Oryctolagus cuniculus: one gene and its partners. The protein of the gene in region 2 purifies or fractionates together with the protein of the main gene of each other region. This does not show direct contact. Links are inferred from orthologs where the notes say so. Each region holds a gene or a part of one and is shown on either strand. Other genes may lie near its edges.

The links.
Region 1: the proteins of RAD18 (region 2) and SLF1 purify together in Homo sapiens (affinity purification with mass spectrometry; 4 studies listed by BioGRID and IntAct, with this or other methods). This does not show direct contact. The link is inferred for Oryctolagus cuniculus from reciprocal best matches to the Homo sapiens genes RAD18 and SLF1.
Region 3: the proteins of RAD18 (region 2) and SHPRH purify together in Homo sapiens (affinity purification with western blotting; 3 studies listed by BioGRID and IntAct, with this or other methods). This does not show direct contact. The link is inferred for Oryctolagus cuniculus from reciprocal best matches to the Homo sapiens genes RAD18 and SHPRH.
Region 4: the proteins of RAD18 (region 2) and SLF2 purify together in Homo sapiens (affinity purification with mass spectrometry; 3 studies listed by BioGRID and IntAct, with this or other methods). This does not show direct contact. The link is inferred for Oryctolagus cuniculus from reciprocal best matches to the Homo sapiens genes RAD18 and SLF2.
Region 5: the proteins of RAD18 (region 2) and POLH purify together in Homo sapiens (affinity purification with western blotting; 7 studies listed by BioGRID, with this or other methods). This does not show direct contact. The link is inferred for Oryctolagus cuniculus from reciprocal best matches to the Homo sapiens genes RAD18 and POLH.

What each region holds. Positions count from the first base shown.
Region 1 is NC_091445.1:17,190,675-17,194,189, forward strand, and holds part of SLF1 (SMC5-SMC6 complex localization factor protein 1), read left to right. Parts: intron 1-866; coding exon 867-980; intron 981-1,134; coding exon 1,135-1,210; intron 1,211-2,229; coding exon 2,230-2,470; intron 2,471-3,515. UniProt on the Homo sapiens protein: Plays a role in the DNA damage response (DDR) pathway by regulating postreplication repair of UV-damaged DNA and genomic stability maintenance.
Region 2 is NC_091441.1:117,583,816-117,587,879, reverse strand, and holds the start of RAD18 (E3 ubiquitin-protein ligase RAD18), read right to left. Parts: upstream 2,807-4,064; 5' UTR 2,694-2,806; coding exon 2,643-2,693; intron 2,226-2,642; exon of another isoform or gene 2,133-2,225; intron 1-2,132. UniProt on the Homo sapiens protein: E3 ubiquitin-protein ligase involved in postreplication repair of UV-damaged DNA. Postreplication repair functions in gap-filling of a daughter strand on replication of damaged DNA.
Region 3 is NC_091436.1:22,333,604-22,337,728, forward strand, and holds the start of SHPRH (E3 ubiquitin-protein ligase SHPRH), read left to right. Parts: upstream 1-1,324; 5' UTR 1,325-1,565; intron 1,566-1,670; exon of another isoform or gene 1,671-2,253; intron 2,254-4,125. UniProt on the Homo sapiens protein: E3 ubiquitin-protein ligase involved in DNA repair.
Region 4 is NC_091446.1:28,940,960-28,944,474, forward strand, and holds part of SLF2 (SMC5-SMC6 complex localization factor protein 2), read right to left. Parts: intron 3,209-3,515; coding exon 3,086-3,208; intron 2,368-3,085; coding exon 2,200-2,367; intron 895-2,199; coding exon 792-894; intron 1-791. UniProt on the Homo sapiens protein: Plays a role in the DNA damage response (DDR) pathway by regulating postreplication repair of UV-damaged DNA and genomic stability maintenance.
Region 5 is NC_091436.1:126,462,356-126,465,870, reverse strand, and holds part of POLH (DNA polymerase eta), read left to right. Parts: intron 1-1,196; coding exon 1,197-1,366; intron 1,367-3,515. UniProt on the Homo sapiens protein: DNA polymerase specifically involved in the DNA repair by translesion synthesis (TLS). Due to low processivity on both damaged and normal DNA, cooperates with the heterotetrameric (REV3L, REV7, POLD2 and POLD3) POLZ complex for complete bypass of DNA lesions.

The DNA of each region.
Region 1 (3,515 bases), on a different chromosome or scaffold from region 2:
ATTTATAGATACCACTTTTCCTAATTATAAATTTGATCTGTGATTTAGACCATTAGTTTGTCATATGATGTTTTAAAAACATTACTAAGTTATTATAAACGTTGTTACTGAAGTAGATGATTTATGTGTTTAGAGTGTTTGAATCAGGACATCCTGTTTTTTTGTGCCTGTGTTTCTTATTTCCCTTTACTCTTTGCAAGTTTAATTTCACTTTCATATTTAATCATTTTAAAAGGAAAGAAATTGCTCTAAGAAGACTTTCTTGATTTCCACTATTGTACACAGTTGGTCATGTTTTCATTTACTCTGGGTTCATACTTTGACCAAAAGTGCTACTAATAACTTAGATTTTTCCATCATATTTATTCCTATTATAAAGACAATATGACTTGAAAATGAAAACTTTACACTGACTCCAGTATGTCCAAGTAATTTAATAATTTTTAAATTAAACCAAACATGTTTAAATGTTACTCTGTTAATAAGCATTCAGATTATAAAAACAGCAATTATTCATCTAAAAAGAGGAATATAATATGGTGGGGTTTTTGTTGCATTTCTATATAATATTTAACTCTCAAGAAACATAGTGAAATTCAGAAGATAACTTTTATAGAAAACTTTTTGTGATAGCATTACAGCAGTTTTTTTTTTTCGTTGCTTTCTGTACATTTTTATTTGATAGTATTTATAATATAGTAGAATGGCCATGTGTTTGCTTTGGCAGCCCATAAAGTATTTACAATTAAGCCTTACATGTTTATTGTGTGTGAAATGGTTTTAATGTTTTTATATTTAGTAGTCAGAGTGTCGTCTCTGTGAATAATGTCTTTAACATATGTTTTCTGTATGTGTCTGTACATTAGATGGAAGATGATGCCCCAAAGCATGTAATCCAGATGACAGGATTTAAGATGGAAGAAAAGGAAGCTCTAGGCAAATTGCTTTTAAAACTAGATTGCACTTTTATTAAGAGTGAGGTAAGTACAGAAGCTTAACTCATCAAAATGTTAAAAGTATAATTGAAAGAGAATTAAAATACTGACAATAATAAAATGCTGCTTGGTATTTTAAAAATGTAAAGGATTTGTTGTTAAGGAAATCTCTAATATTTATGTGGATTTTTCCTTTCAGAAATACAAAAATTGTACACATCTTATAGCTGAACGTCTTTGTAAGAGTGAAAAATTTTTAGCAGCTTGTGCAGCTGGTAAGTGAACTGCCTTGCCTCCAACCCTTTAAACAAACTGCATGTTAAAGAAAAAGTATCCTAATCTCTGAAACAATAATGTGTTCATTACACCAAATATAAATTTGTTTCTGAAAATATGTATTTTTTGTTGTATTCAGAAGTAAAATGTTCTACCACATGAAAAATGTAAAATAGGCAAAAATATGTACTTTACCAAAGGTTTGGTGTAAGTGCTTTATTTAAGAAAAACAGGTTGTAACAAAAAGGTTAGTGCAGAATGCCAACATCTTAAGCCTTTGTTGAAGACTGATCTGTTCTCAATCAACTTTCTTTTCTTGGTCCATTCTTGGAATAATTTTATGTTTTGTTTTCCCTCCTGAGTTTCCCCACCTTTCCATGCTTTGTAACAGTGGTCGTACATTTATGTTATTAGATAGTAAATTTTATAGGCCCAAGTTATGACTTATTCTTCTTTCTTCCTTTTTTACCATTCAGTAAGTTTGTACACTAACAGAAACGTATTTGTAGTTTAATTTAGAATAAAACCACTTGGATTTCTCAGCTCCACAAATGAAAGAATACATTGTTTAAAACGGTTATTGATGTCTGGGTAAAGAAACTGCAGCATATTATTAAATGCCCTGAAAATTTCTCTAACTTGATAGATTTGTTTTACAGGGTTTAGCAGTGCTGTAAACATTATTGGAAGAGTTTTTAGCATATAATTAAAAATATAAAGTTAGCCCAAATAGTAAATAATCACAATAATAAAATATAATGACATTTTATTTTGAATTTTAAAGCTTTAGATTTAACAGTATTTAGATTTTGAATTGTCATGGGAAAGATTACATACTATGTTCATTGATGCTGTAGACCTGTTACAATCAAAAATTTAGAAAAACAAAAATAAAACAATTTGGATGAAGAATCTGATGTTGAACAGGTTGACTTTTTCTTGATGGCTTGATTTTTATTGTTTATCATCCATCAAAACCAAAATTATTTTGTGATGGACAGTTTTTTTTGCATTCTAGGAAAGTGGGTACTAACAAAGGACTACATAATTCATAGTGCCAGAAGTGGAAGATGGCTTGATGAAACCACTTATGAATGGGGATATAAAATTGAAAAAGACTCCCATTATTCACCTCAAATGCAATCTGCACCTAAAAGGTGGCGAGAAGAACTGAAACGCACTGGTGCTCCAGGAGCCTTCCACAGGTGGAAGGTTGTCCTCCTTGTGAGAGCTGATAAACGAAGTGATTCTCTTATAAGGTATGATGAAAGCTCATAAAAGCTAAAGCAAGGATGAGAAAACAGCTATGATTTGTATGAATACCTTTGTATAGCTCTGAAATTCTTAGCTTAAAACTTGGGAGCCATGGTAATTTACTCTTTGATCTCTAAGCCATCACTTTTAAGTTTTTGTGTGTTTAATAGAACAAAATCTGTATTACAGTGTATGTTTTACTTCCCATGTTATTTCTTCTGTACATCTCAAAATAAACAATAATTGCAAGTTTTTTTAGTTTCGAAGCTCTTAAGATTTTTGCTTGTAAGATATTACATAATATTTAAGGCTTTATTGTGCATTTATGTAGTGCTGTCTTCATGATTTATACTGTTTCCACTATAATTTAATCTCATTCTTTTTTTATATATAGATTTTTTTTAAAAGATTTATTATTTATTTGAAAGAGTTACACAGAGAAGGAGAGGTAGAGAGAGAGAGAGAGAGAGAGGAGAGAGGGAGGGAGGGAGGGAGGGAGAGAGATCTTCCATCCGCTGGTTCACTCCCCAGTTGGCCACAATTGCTGGAGCTGCGCCAATCTGAAGCAGGAGCCAGGAGCTTCTTCTGGGTCTCCCACATGGGTGCAGGGACCCAAGGACTTGGGCCACCTTCTGCTTTCCCAGGCAAAAGCAGAGAGCTGAGTCAGAAGTGAAGCAGCCAGGACTCAACGTGCTGGCACTGTAGACCAGGGCTTTAACCCGTTGCGCCATAGCACTGGCCCCTCTGTATATATTTTTTAAAAGCCACCTTGTTGGATAAACTAAATTTTAAAACTTCTGTCATTTTTGCCAGAGGCAGGAGGTAGTGATTTGTTTTTTTGTCTCTGAAATATAATTTATGGATAGTAAGATATATCCCTTTTAAGTATACATTTTGATAATTTAGGCAAGCTTATACACTCATATTTCCCTCACTGTAATCAAGATCTGTAACATTCTCATCATCCTTTAATGTTCCTTTGTGTCCTTGTACATTTAATTTTGTACCACCAATACCAGTTGCCTTATTTGTCACAATAGACTAAATTTG
Region 2 (4,064 bases):
AAATCTTAAAAAAAAAAAAAAAAAAAAAAGGCAGGGGTCAGCGTTCACGTTCTAACGCACACTTCTTCAAAGTCGGAAGAGAAATCGACAGCAGCCCAGACCCCGGAGCCTGGGGGCCAGGACAGTCTCGGGAAGCCCCCAGCACCAGGCCAACCGCAAAGCCCAGGGCCCGGAGCTGCCGAGGGCGCCACCACGGCGACCCACAGCCACATGCAGGAGGACTGAAGGGAAACAGGAGGGGACACTAACAGCGGCTCTGTCTGACGCTAAGGTCACCAGCAGTGTTCCTTGGCTCCTTCTTTATGCCAGTCTGAATTGTTATTATTTTTAATGTGGACACATCTTATATTTATAATGTGTCCCAATCAAAAAAAAAGCTTATTACAGCCAAACCAGGGAAATAAACAGTAACACGCCCTAGTCTCCCGTTACTCTGCGGGACGGCTACTTCAGGGACACCGAGAGCACTGCGGGAGGCGCCGGGCAGAGGCAGCCTCTCGGGCTCTCAGGCTCCCTCGCACAACCCTCGGCTGCGGGAGGGCAGGGCCGGAGCTACCGCGACACTCGCCACACGCATGCCAATGCATGCCACACACACACCACACACAAACCACATGTGTGCCACACATACGCCACGCCACACGCATGCCATGCATGCACCACATGCATGCCACACGTGCCTCACAACATACATGCCTGGAGGGGACGGGGACAGCCAGCAGGCGTCCCGGGGGAGCCTGCGTTTGGAGACAGTGACCGGGAGCACAGGATGCGAGGACAACTCAACAACTACAGAAAGTCCTGGGGACAACAGCGCCCTTTGCAACGTGCTTGGACACTGTGGACTTCTCAGAAACACGTGCACGCAGGCACCACGTCTCGCTGCGGGTCTGCGTGAGTGACAGCTGCACGCAGCACTGGAGGAACCAGGGCAGCTCCTGGGTTCTGTCCCTGGACGCGCGACAACACGGCCGGGACACCAGAGGGCGCTGGTTTCCGCCTTCAGAACCCGCAGGAGGCCAGCGAGCTCGGCTGGGCGCAGTCAACCGGGGCTGAGCTCTGAGAGCGCTCGGTGTCCGACTCCACCCACCGGGGACGCGGAGCCCGGCCCAGGATCCCTCTCCACCCACCGGGGACGCGGAGCCCGGCCCAGGATCCCTCTCCATCCACCGGGGACGCGGAGCCCGGCCCAGGGTCCCTCTCCATCCACCGGGGACGCGGAGCCCGGCCCCGGGGTCCCGCTCCATCCACCGGGGGACGCGGAGCCCGGCCCGGGGGTCCCTCTCCACCCACCGGGGACGCGGAGCCCGGCCCAGGATCCCTCTCCATCCACCGGGGACGCGGAGCCCGGCCCGGGGGTCCCTCTCCACCCACCGGGGACGCGGAGCCCGGCCCCGGGGTCCCTCTCCATCCACCGGGGACGCGGAGCCCGGCCCAGGATCCCTCTCCACCCACCGGGGACGCGGAGCCCGGCCCCGGGGTCCCTCTCCACCCACCGGGGACGCGGAGCCCGGCCCCGGGGTCCCGCTCCATCCACAGGGGACGCGGAGCCCGCTCTGAACAGCTTGAATAGGGTTACAGAACAGGCAAGTCCGCAGGGCTGCCGCGCGGGTCCCTGTTCTCTCGCCAACGCAGCCCTGCCGGCAGCACCAAGCACGCCTTAGGTGCTAACGCTTACCTCGCCCGGCACCCTCGATCCACCCGTGCAGGATTCTGAGCACCTGCTAAGCCTGGGTCGCTACCAACACTCGTCAGCCTACACCACCCGTCCCACAACCCCCTGAGTACACTCAGACTCATAGGGGCCACAATGAACCAGGGCCACTGGACCCCGAACCCACGCCTTCGTCCCCTGCACCTCAGCTGCACGGCCTGGTCCGCCCCTGTGTGCCCCGTCCACTCGGGGCTATCTCAGGCCACCCCGTCAGTCACTGCCGGGATACCCCAGGTCCCGGCAGCGACGTCAGCAAAGGCCCTGGGTGACCGCAGCCGCCCCCAGGTCCCTCTGCGGAGCCCACGGGGCAGACCCACAGCCCCCCCCCCCCCCCCCGGGTAGACCCAAGCGCAGAGGGAGGCGGCCTCACAAACACAAAGGACGAGAGGCAGGGCGAGGCCGCCCCGGCGAGCTGCACCTGCCCTGGAGCGCATCCTGCAGGAGTCCTGGGCCGTGCACGGACACCGGGGGCAAACCTAACCGAGGTCCACTCAACCCACGGCCGGCGCCGGGCTGAGGCCCCGATCTCCGGTTAGGAGAGACAGGGAGACGGGCCGCTGCTGGGGGCAGGCTTCGGGGCTGCGGCCGGGAGCAGAGGGCGCGCACGAGCAGCAGGAGGGAAGCCGGCTGCTCTCCCGCGCGCGGAGATCGTCACGTGAGGCCGCGCACACGGGAGCCCACGGCAAGGCCGGGCCGCCACTGTCGCGCCCACGGCTGCCCGCCATGCCGCTGCCGGCATCGCACCGCGCGACGGCCACCCTCCCGGCTCGCCGCGACACACCAACGCCCGTCCCTGTCACTTCTCAGCGGAGGACGCTCGGGCCCAGAGCCGCGCGCCCGGCGACCGGCAGGGCACAGCCGGGCACCCGGCCCCGCTCGCCGCTCGCGCCCCGTCGTCGCCCCTCTCCGGGCCCCAAGGAGCCCTCACCTTCATGACTGCCAGGCCCGGCGGCCACCGAGGCTCGGCCAGGGAGTCCATGGTCACTCCCGAGGATGCTGGGGGTCGGCCGCCCGCTGGCCTCCCGCGCTGCGCTCCCACTCGAAATTCCCCGCGCTATTGAGCTACGTCAGCAGAGCGCGCCGCGGCCGAGACGCGCGCGGGGCCTGCCGGGAGTTGTAGTAGGTGGGCGGAGCGTGGGCCGGGCCGTTCGTACTGCGCACGCGCCGGGCGTCTTCCTGCCAGGCGCTGGTGAGGAGAGCCGGGAGCCGGGTCGGTGCAGCGGGTGAAGTCCCCGCCCGCGGGCGCTGGCGGCCGCTGTGGCTGCCCCGTTCCTGAGCCCACGCCTTGCCAATCCTCCTGGAAAAGCCGCAGGAGATGGCCCGGTGTCCGGGTCCCTGCTCCCGGGTCACCCAGACGGTCACGGGCTCTTGGCCGCGCTGGCCCAGGCCTGGCCCTCTGGGGAGTGACCAGGGACGGAGGACCTCTCTGTCTCTCCCTCTCAAATAAAAAGAACCGTGAAAAGACTCGTTCCCGCTTTGACAGGAGGGGGCGGGGTCTGGTTTACTCTCCCAGGACGGGCTGTGCCCCAGGGAGATGGCGGCTGCGGCTGCGACTCAGCTGACACAGGAGTGGAACGTCCAGGAGAGGCCCCTCTGCAGCCGGTCTCGGGGAGACCACAGCCATCGAGGTCAGGGCCCGCGCTGTCCGGCCCAGGTGCACCTGCTGCCCACAGGCAAAATGCAGAGGGGGTGAGGGTGGTCGTCCTGGTGCAGGGGGTGCACGCTGGAGGCGGGCGCCCAGCAGAGGCCCCCTGCTGTGCTGTCCTGGGACGCGGGAGCCCCGGGGAGCCCCACCCCAGACAGTGGAGCTGAATCCAAGTTACTGCCGGTGAGGCCCGGGGGCAGGGGCCGCAGCGGCCTGAGAGGCGAGGAAAACGCTGGGCAGACGCAGGGAGCCCGGCTGCAGACAACGAGCGGAAGTTCAGGGAGCCGTGACGTCACCCCGGAGCCGTGACGTCACCCCAGAGCCGTGCCGCCCGGGAAAGACGCTCAGGAGCTGCCACACCCGTCGATGGCCTCATTTGGGCCCTGATTTGAAAAAACAACTTTAAATGACATTTCTGGAACAGTCAAGGAACTGTGAATGTGAGTGGTGCATTTGTCATATTGGGCAGTTATCACTGATTTGGTCAGTGTGGTTTGGGATGGTCCCTGTGTAGAAAATGTCATTTTTAGAGGTGGGCCGGTTGAGATGTGATGTCATTGGTTTACTTGAATCTCTAAAAAGTCAAAGGAAACTTTGGGAACAAAAAGTAATTGTTAAATCTCGAAGAGCGACACGGTTATTAATTAATCAGTCTGTGTCCTGTGAGCTTGAAACAATTCGTAATGGAAATTAGGGGTAGCCGGC
Region 3 (4,125 bases), on a different chromosome or scaffold from region 2:
CCATAGAGCCAAAATGCAAAAGTGAACCATGATTTCTGAAATGAGCTCTGGTAATTCTAAACCTGAAAAACATTCTTCCATAGGGAAATTTCTCAATGGATGTACAGGGTAGTTGGCAAATACCAGATTGAACATAAGGGAGAATTTTGTTTCATTGTAACCACTGGAAGGTAGAGCCTAGAATTCTATGTCTATAATGCAATCACATCACAGAATTTGCAATTTGATCTGCAGTTTAATATCCTGCACAGTGTTAACGAAATTATGTCTGTAAGTAACCCCAAGCCAGGTGAATAAAGATGCTGTGCTATTTTTTTTTAACTATTTCTGCCTGTCATCAGAAGCCAAATATTTCAGACAATCCATGAGCCCACTTCACTCCTCCAATGGTGAGAAGTGATAAAGCTATCAAGGATAACATTTTTTAGCATAATATTTGTTTAAATACCCAGTTCCTTATCACACCGTGGAACAAAGGTTTCATTGCATCATGTATTTGGGGAAATGATCAATTCCTTAATGAAGAAGAATCCTGCTTGTCCACTGTCACAGCGTTAGCAGTTTTCCAAACTTGTCTCATGAAACTTTGGATAGTGCAATTGATTTGTCTAGTTTGACAGGTTTTAGATTATGTAAATAGAGTCTTTCAGGCTGTTGGGGTCTGTGATAAGCAGGAAAAGGGCTCCTCTAGATTGTTTCCACAGCACAGGAGGTCGTGTTAGGCAAGCAGTTACTTTAGCTCTTCTGGAATCACACACATCTGAGACGCCCCGCGCCAAAGTATAAATGTTGAGTCCTTATTAGGTACACACTCACTGACTGACTGCCTAATATTTCCCGGAAGTTAATTTACAGGCTTTTGTAAAACCTTCCAGAGTTATACCAAAGTTAACTAAGCGAAAGTTTCCTTCTGTAAGAGGTGGGAGGAGAAAACAGAAACTTTAAAACTAAGATGATGGAAGGCTAGCTTCAGCAGAATTCTTATTTAAAAATATTTCCTCACATTTCCTTCGTAAATCTTAACAAATGTTTTTTAAGAGAGGCATGCTTCATTCGCACCTAATAAGTCACTTCTTTCTTGAAGTAATTAAGTAGATAAGTTCTGGAGAATTCTTTTCTGCTTTCTTACTAAATATACAAATGATTTAACTACCTCTTGCTTCCGGCGGCAAGCAGAACCCCGCCCCTGCGATGCTGCCTATATTTGCTTACTGTCCCGCCTCTTTCTTCTGGACGTCAGCCAATCCTGTCTTCATTAATGTGCGGCATAGCTATCGCGAGACTCCAACTGTACTTGCGCAAAAGAGGCTCTAGAAGCCGAGAAGGGAGGAAAGGGGCGGGGCGCCCGACGTGCGCGTTCACCTTGACCTCACGCTCCTGCGCGCGCCCGGCAGCTAAGCGCTGTGGCTTCTGGGCCCCCGGAGGCCACAACACAACACACAACGCGCGTGCCCACATAGGGCGGATGCTCCGTGCGTAGCGAATGAATGCCTGGACTCTGAGGGAGCATTAGCGGGTTCCGGACCCGGTGCACACCCACTCAAGTATTTGGAGAAGCAGCTTGGGTGAGCGCTTGGGTGATGGAGGGTCAGAGGTCAGAGGTCGGGGGAGGAAGACGTCTCCGGCCTCTCCGGGCCCCGGAGGGAGGACGGGGGCTGTCCTGGAGCCGGGGAAGCTTTTGGATGGAGAGGAAGCCGCTGCGCGAGTCTCCTGGCGTCCCCGTCCCCGGCTCGCGGGCCTCGGGCCTCCGCGGCTTTCCTAAAAGCGGGGGCGGTGGGGAGGGAGGTTCTGCTGCTCCGGATAGACTGGGGCCTGCGGTGTGTTGTGCGGGAGCCCCGCTGCAGTGTCCATGGTCGCGCCCCTCGGCCTCGCCGGGGTCTGCCCGGCCTGCTGGGAGCGGTCGGCCGCTGACAGCGCGGCTCCGACTCTCGCATCCGCTTTTGCATCTTAGGGGAGATAACCGAGCGGGTATCCCTGGAGTCGAGCAGATAAGCCTCTGAGGCAGAGCTGGGCAGCCGCCTAGCTTTTGGGTGCACCGGATTGCACATAGTGAAAGGCGAGGCTTGTAAGTTACTCCCACTGGAAAGTTCTCGTGGAAATCAGACGGGTGACACTGGCTTCCAGAACCACCCTGGGCATTGCACGTTTCGACGCCGTGAAAGATGTTGGGTTTATGAACGAAGACGGTTGTCACTGTCTGTCTTAAATGATGATCATTCAGCTTCTGTCTTTTCCCAGGAAGCTTAGTACAAGGTAGAAATCTTCGTTTGGCGTTTTCCTAGTTGTACTTAAATTGATTTGGGGCTGTAACGGAACAAAATGAAATAGTTTTAAAGTCGTTACTGCTATTTTAAACGATTCCAGTGGGCAGTAAGCAGGGACGGTGGAACTCCCCTGAATAGAAACAATACACAATATCTGTGCCATCACAGAAAGCGGTGCTTGGCTTGGGATCAGGGACCCTGCGGGAAGCTGAGCAGTATTGGGATAACCCGCACTTCCTAGAGGTTTCAAGGCCCGGTTAACAAAACAAGCCCGACATTGAGAGTCCAGTGGTTTGCTCTTGAAAGATACTCTTATCTTTTGCCCAGCTCAAAATGAGTGCACTTACACTACTATTAAACCAAATCTTTTATTAAGAGTTTCAGTTAGAATTTGGGGGAAGCAATCTGCTGGTGACAAAGCTTGTTAGTAAGACATTTTTCAAACTTATATCTAATATTAATTTAGAGTTCAGTAGATGAGAATACTCTCAATTAGCCCGAGTAATCAACACAGAAAAGAAACAGATTGTGATAATGCGAGGGCATTAAGAGCTTTTCAGGTTTCAGAAATAATTGGACTTCTCTTGCATAAAGTAATGCTGTGCACCTCAGTGTGGCAAATGTAGACTTCTTGGTGCCTTGATAGCCCAAACCCAGGTCTACCATGGATTTGTTATAATTCAGGATTTGTATGTGTCTTAATGAAGAGGTAATTTGGAGGGAAAGGAATCAAAATTTAAGTTTAATTGAGATTCACTTGTTGTCTTAGCAATGTAAACATTTGCGTTTATTTTTCTGGCACTCTGTTTTGCTGGAGATACTTCACTCAATATTCTCTGCCTCATTTTGGGCCATAAACAATAAAGCAAAGTATCATAATACTTGTGGTCTTCTAGAACGTGAATAAGAGATTTCGCCTGAAAACAATATAAGGACCTTTAGGTCCTTAAAATGGGGAAGATATTCAGGAAGTTAGAGATCTTTGTCTCGCCTTATATTTTGTATCATTTACATCCTGACTGACCAGGCATTGAAAGTACAACACTGAATAGGATACTGTTAGTGCCCAGATTTCAGGTAGTTCAAAAGGAACACTACAGCCTTTGGGATCAAGTAGCAGAGACCTTTAACACAACTTCTGTGGTAATAAAAGGCTCTCAGGGAAGACTGGGTCCATACCAGTAACTTTGCATAATTACATTTTACACAAACGCTGATATTTGCAGAAGAGGAAGAAGTAGAACCTTAAGATATGTGATCCTTGAGCTCTGAAGAAAACCTGAAGGATATGGGATATGGTTAAAATACAGAATCTCACCAGTACTTGACTTATTTTGCCAATTTTCATTTTGGGTATAAGTATCTTTGACTAAATAATATTTCCTTTGATTCAAGAAATTATCCCTGGATATTGATCAAAAACCAGATTGGGGAGTGAGGGCAAATATCACAGATATTTGTTGAGAACTGGACAAAGGGAGGGCTTTGCTGGAAACGCTGGTATTTACTTTTCCCAACTTAATATCAATGATAATTACCCTAAGGCTCTAATGATAGAAGAATCAGGTTGAAAGCAAACATTATTGCAAATAATAGCACTGTACATAATTTCAGTGATACTGGATGAGCCTTACCAGTGGACATAAAAAAAATGAAGGAGTATGTTCTGGTTCAATCATACCTGTTAAAAGATTGTTTTAAGAAATATGGCACATATTATTTCTACTCACATTCCTTTGGCTAGAACTCGTAATGGGACCATAACTAAGCCAGGCAGCCATTTTTTCTAATATTGTATCTTTTGGGAGGAAAAACAATGATTTTAGTAGGCATCTGGTTATCCATAACAAGGCTTCTCAAA
Region 4 (3,515 bases), on a different chromosome or scaffold from region 2:
TTCATACATTCAGAATTTTATTAAAGTGGAACACTCTCACAACCTGGGAATAACTTGTCATTCATAATCTTCTTTGAATATGGGAGGAGGCTAATTCCAACTGAGCATCATCATAGTACTTGCTGATGTAGCAGCTAGTCAAAAAGTCCCTCTCCATAGCTTCCTAGCTCTTCTAGGATGTACTGCATTTAACCCTAAATTGGATGATACAATACTTCTATATTAATGATGTCGTTTGCCTAAAGGGACAAAGTACCTAGAGTAATACCAGGACTCTACATATAAAATCAATATCATCTATATTTTTAAAAGTTACACTTAAAAATAAAAATTAAGATATTCAAGTGGATTTAAGTAGAAAATATAAATAGAAAAAAGAGAAACAGTTGGATTTACACACACACACACACACACACATATGAACGAATGGGGAAATATTAGTATACAATAAAATCCCTGAAAATGAATATTGGTACCCCTAGAAATAAAACAAAATTTAGGGAATGTAAGCATTTGAAGATCCTTTCTAAAACTAACTGTAACAGTGATTTACTGGTGTGATGAAGTGCCTCAGACACATATAACTTTATTGACTATCCTGCATACTATCTGTATTAACATTTCCTTTAAATGCATTCAGACTCCTTTTGTATATTCTAATCCACTGAAATCACGGGTTTGATATATTAATTTTCTCCTAGGCATATGCAAGTAAAATTACATATAAAAACTTGCTTTTGACTGGGAAATACAGTAGCAGGCAACTATAACCCTCCAAACATTTCTCTTACCCGAAATAGCCACTTTAACACAGGTACAGGACACTGGACATAATGATAAGCAGAGGTGAGGAAGCCTTGTGTTGTCAAAAAAATCTGATCTGTTTTTCCTGATCTGAAAAAATAAAGTGAAATCAATGACTATTACTTTCATGGCAAAGCATTTCTACTACCACCACATCTGACACAATCAAGACAATAAAAAGCGAATCATCCTGTGTAGGTGGATCCCACACCAATATAGACAGGTTACTCACAAAACAAATTCAACTGATGGCATAAAGCTGATGCGATCTATTATTTCAGCTTCACGCCTGTCTAGTAGGCAACGCTACATTTGTTGGCAGTGTTGAAAGAGCCTATAAAATCTTAGGACCTCCTCTGCTTTTGCTAGCTTGCAGAACGCTGTTTCGTAAAACTCAGCACCAGAACTGATATGATCTCTCTAGCTCTAAGATATCAAGTACCTAGAGAAATCAGACTAGCTAGGTAGAGATTACTTATCCATACTAACATCTGGTTTGTGGTTGAGATTACTTGTCTATACTAACATCTAATTTTGCTTTTTTTTTTTTAAACTTTATTTACTTATTTGAAAGGCAGAGTTACAGAGAGGCAGAGGCAGGCCGGTGCTGTGGCTCACTAGGCTAATCCTCCACCTGCAGCACCGGCACTCCGGGTTCTAGTCCCAGTTGGAGCGCCAGTTCTGTCCTGGTTGCTCCTCTTCCAGTCCAGCTCTCTGCTGTGGCCTGGGAAGGCAGTGGAGGATGGCCCAAGTGCTTGGGCCCTGCACCTACATGGGAGACCAAGAGGAAACACCTGGCTCCTGGCTTCGGATCGGCGTGGCACGCCAGCTATAACGGCCATTTGGGGGGTGAACCAATGGAAGGATAGACCTTTCTCTCTGTCTCGGTCTCTCTCTCACTAACTCTGTCAAAACAAAAACAAAAACAAAACAAACAAAAAACAGAGAGGCAGAGGCAGAGAGAATCTTCCATCCACTGGTTCACACCCCAGATGGCTAACAGCTGGAGCAGGGCTGTCTCTTCCTCTCACTGTCTGTAACTCTGCCTCTCAAAATAAATAAATAAAATCTTACATAAAAAAAAAAAAAAGAATGACAGAGAAAAAGAATAGTGAAACCAACATACTGGCCCTAGACTTTATACCTCTTACCCTTCTTTAACTTAAGAAAGAAATAAACTCTTGTTTAAGCTCCTTTTACTCTGACAGTCACTGCTATTTATGGATCTTAATCCTAACTAATAAAAGCATGTCAACTTTCCTATCCTGCTTCCTATAATTAAGTAAAATATCATAAAGGGCAAAAAAGGATTAGGAAACCGGAAAATTACATTGGTCAGAAGTCTTTTAAAATAATTTTTATAGAGAAAAAGATATAATGTTAATTTCTACTTACTTAAGAATAAGCTTTTCTACAGCACTTTGTCCGATAAAACCAGAGTCTCTTAAATCCAAGGTATACTGATTGAAAATTTTTCCAGAATTAAGGAAATTAAATATTTCTTCACCTGGATGATGATCAGGAATAGCATCAATTGTAACTGAAAATTTCTTTAGAAATTCCCTGAAACATAAAACATGTTACTTGAATACCAAATAGTTATACTGCACATGGTTTTGTACTTAAAAGTTGGGTGCAAAGAAAACTTTACGTCCAATGTTAATCCCAGGTTAGACGACCAGCCGGAGAAAAAGTATGCTTTGCTGCTCCCAATTTTTGTCTCTTATGAGAAGGAACAATAATCAGTACAAAAGAAAAGGCGTAACTTGCCTCTAACATTTGCCTTTTAATACCATCACAGACGATTAGAAACCCAGTAAAGATTCATGAAGGAAATAATCATCAAAGGCCTATTTATTTTACAAAAAAACAAAAATTATATTTTATTTTTTTTGACAGGCAGAGTGGACAGTGAGAGAGAGAGAGAGAGAGACAGAGAGAAAGGTCTTCCTTTACCGTTGGTTCACCCTCCAATGGCCGCCACGGCTGGTGCGCTGCGGCCGGCGCACCGCACTGATCCGATGGCAGGAGCCAGGTACTTATCCTGGTCTCCCATGGGGTGCAGGGCCCAAGTACTTGGGTCATCCTCCACTGCACTCCCTGGCCACAGCAGAGAGCTGGCCTGGAAGAGAGGCAACTGGGACAGAATCCGGTGCCCCAACCGGTACTAGAACGCGGTGTGCTGGCGCTGCAAGGCGGAGGATTAGCCTAGTGAGCCACGGTGCCGGCCAAAAAACAAAAACTGTAAAATGACATACATACATTATAAAAAATACCATACCTGTGTTCTTCCAAGAGGCCATCTTCATCATCTGTACTATCTTGATCTCCGATTCTGATTGGGGATTTAATGCCTCGGCCCTGCCTTATATCTTCTTGTAGCTGCTTCTGCAGTTCATCTAGCCTGAGGATTAAAAGAATGCTATAATAAATAATTCATCCTAAAAATTAAAAAAAAACTTAGTAAGTTAAATCATGTCTCCCCAATACATCATGACATATAATATAATATACCATTTTCAGTAAAACATGAAAAGTCTGTTTCTTTTTTAAAGATTTATTTTATTTATTTGAAAGTCAGAGTTACACAGAGAGAGAAGGAGAGGCAGAGAGAGAGAGAGAGAGAGAGAGAGAGAATCTTCCATCTGCTGGTTCACTCCCCAGATGGCCGCAAAGGCCAGAGCTGGGCCGATGCGAAGCCAGGAGCCAGG
Region 5 (3,515 bases), on a different chromosome or scaffold from region 2:
AAAACGGAGGCAAGGATCCTGCTCTCTAGAGGCTGTCAGTCCACTGTAGCTTCTGGAGCTGGGCTGTAAGGAGGAGGGACTGGGGCCGGTGTTAAGCAAGATGCCATCGTAACATCCCTCTTGAGCACTGGATTGAGTCCCGGCTGCTCTACTTGCAATCCAGCTCCCTGCTGATGTGCCAGGGAAAACAGCAGATGGCGGCCCAAGTACTCAGACTCCTGCAACCCACATGGGAGACCCAGAAGAAACTTCTGGCTCCTGGCTTTAGCCTGGCACAGCCCCAGCTGTTGTGGGCATTTGGGGAGTGACCCAATGGATAGAAGATCTTTTTGTCCCCTCTCTGTCCATAACTCTGCCTTTCAAATAAAGAAATAAAGGTTAAAAGAAAGGTACTAGTGAAAATTTCTACTGTTACAAAATGTAAGAATATCAGTTCCTTCATACCCAGAAGTAGCACAGACTCTTTTTGTAGAACCATGTAATCAAAATTTTATTCAGAAAATGTGATTCTATGGTATACATTCTGTACTGTTAGCATGTGTGGTGTATGAAAATAGGACATGCCTTTACATTCCTCTTGGTCCCTAACCTGTGCATAATATGTACTCAGTGTACATTTATAGTTTATGTAAGTAAATATTGGAATAAAGAGCCTTGTTCTTTACTTACTATTCTTTGTTCTTTACTTACTATTCTTTGTCCTGTATTGTCTTTTTTTTTTTTTTTTTTTTTTAAGATTTATTTATTTTACTTGAAAGAGTTACACAGAGAGAAGGAGAGGCAGAGAGAGAGAGAGGTCTTCCATCCACTGGTTCATTCCCCAATTGGCTGCAACGGCCGGAGCTGTGGCAATCTAAAGCCAGGAGCCAGGAGCTCCTCTAGGTCTCCCACATGGGTGCAGGGGCCCAAGGGCTTGAGCCATCTTCTGCTGTTTTCCCAGGCCACAGCAGAGAGCTGGATAGGAAGTGGAGCAGCCGGGATTCGAACCAGCGCCCATGTGGGATGCTGGCACTGCAGGCGGCAGCTCCACCCGCTACGCCACAGCGCTGGCCCCCCTGTATTGTATTTTAAACTATTTCTGTTTTCCAAACTCTTCTGTTACCCTTGATCCTTTTATTTCCTCTCATGCAGTTCAGTATATGGAATACAGAGGCTTCTGCTAACTATTTCTGATCTCAGTCCTCTTCCACCCACAGAATGACAGGATGGCCACCCAGTTGGCTGTGAGCATTCGTGTACAAGGAGACAAACGTCTGAGCAGCCTGCGCCGCTGCTGTGCCATTACTCGCTATGATGCTCACAAGATGAGCCAGGATGCCTTTGCTGCCATCAGGAACTGTAATACTTCTGGACTCCAGACTGAATGGTGAGTGTTTTTCCTAGCTCTTCTTCTCAGAAGAAACTTAGGCCTCGTTTTAGCTCTAAAATTGGTGGGCATCTGAGCTCTTCAGCTGGGGGCACTCTTTATAAATCAGTCTAGCAGCACCTATTACGGAGGAGAGTGGCTATCCCTTGGTGCACATGTAGCAACCCCAGAATCAAGGCAGCTCAGCTGCGGCTTCCTTGCCTACAGTTAGTACATTTGAGCTCCCAGGTACAGGTGGTAGGCAGTGAACTGATACTGTCTCTGCCTGTATTCATTCCTATAGTCAGGGAAATGACCGATTGTACTTGGAAAATAGAAGTTTCAACATGACACTTGGGCACTTCTCTCTCAATGACTTTATTGTTCTGTTTTAAAAGCATCTTTCATAACTTATGAAAGTGACCTATTTTCATTGGTAATTTCCACCTAAACATTCCAACTTAGTTACAGGCTCCACTGGTATCATATAAGTGTCACTTCTGCTAGTTATAAAATACAGCCAAATACATGATAAAGCCTCTTTTTGAAGCATGTTCATTTTCTATCCAGATAATAATGGTTTTCAAGCGAATCACTTAAGTTATTGCTTATGTAAATATATCGGTACATTGTTCTGTGTGCAGACATATAATATGATGGGGTCACTGAAGTTAGAGTCTGTGTTCTTAGAATTTACTTTTACTTGCTGGTATATTTGTTTTCAGCAGTTTATTTTGAACAGTTTTACATAACCAGGTGATAACTGTGGTACTGTGTTCATATGAAACCTTCCTTACTTAAAAATGTATGAGTCAGGGCCAGCATTCTGGTACAGATGATTAAGCCATCGCCTGCATTGCTGATATCCTGTATGAGTGCTGGTTCAAGTCCTGGCTGCTCTACTTCCTATCCAGGTCCTTGCTAATGCTCCTGGGAAAGCAGAAGATGGCCTGAATACTTGGGCCCCTGTCAACCATGTGAGAGATTCAGATGGAGTTCCAGGCTCCTGGCTTTGGCCTGACCCAACACTGGGCATTAAAGGCATTTGGGGAGTGAACCAGCAGATGGGAGATCCCTCCATCTCTCCCTTTCTTTCTTTCTTTCTTTTTTTAAGATTTATTTTATTTATTTGAAAGAGTTACAGAGAGAGGTAGAGACAGAGAGAGAGGTCTTTCATCTGCTGGTTCACTCCCCAGATGGCTGCAACAGCCAGAACTGTGCTGATCCGAAGCCAGGAGCCAGGAGCTTCCTCCGGGTCTCCCACATAGGTGTAGGGGCCCAAGGACTTGGGCCATCTTCTACTGCTTTCCCAGGCCATAGCAGAGAGCTGGATCAGAAGAAGAGCAGCCAGGACTAGAACCAGTGCCCATATGCCAGCACTTCAGGCCAGGGCATTAACCTGCTGCACCACAGCGCCGACTCTCTGTCTCTCCCTTTCTATCTCTTTTTAGCTCAGCCTTTCAAACAAATATATAAATCTTTTTTTTAAAAAGATTTATTATTTGAAAGAGTTAAACAGAGAGAGGAGAGGTAGAGAGAGAGAGAGAGATCTTCCATCCATTGGTTCACTCCCCAATTGGCTGCTACAGCTGGAGCTGTGCAGATTTGAAGCCAAGAGGCAGGAGCTTCTTCCTGGGTGTAGAGCCCAGAGACTTGGGCCATCTTCTAATGCTGTCCCAGGCCATAACAGAGAGCTGGATCAGAAGTGGAGCGGCTGCTCCATATGGGATGCCAGTGCTTTAGGCCAGGGCGTTAACCCGCTGCGCCACAGCACCGGCCCCAATAAATCTTTTTTAAAAAATGGGTAAGTTGGGGCCAGTGCTGTGGCGTAAGTGCCGACATCCCATATGGTCTCTGGTTTGAGTCCCTGCTGCTCCACTTCTGATCCAGTTCCCTGCTAATAGCCTGGGAAAGCAGTAGAAGATGGCCCAAGTGCTTGGTCCCCTGCACCCATACAGGAGACCCGGAAGAAGAACCTGGCTCCTGGCTTCAGATCAGCCCAGCTCTGGCCATTGTGGCCACTTGGGAAATAAACCAGTGGATGGAAGATTTCTCAGTCTCTCTCTCCCTCTCCCTCTCTCTCTCTCTTTCTCTAACTCTACCTTTTGAATAAAATAAGTAAATCATTAAAAAAAAATCTATAAGTTACAAGCTATGAAAAATATTCCTC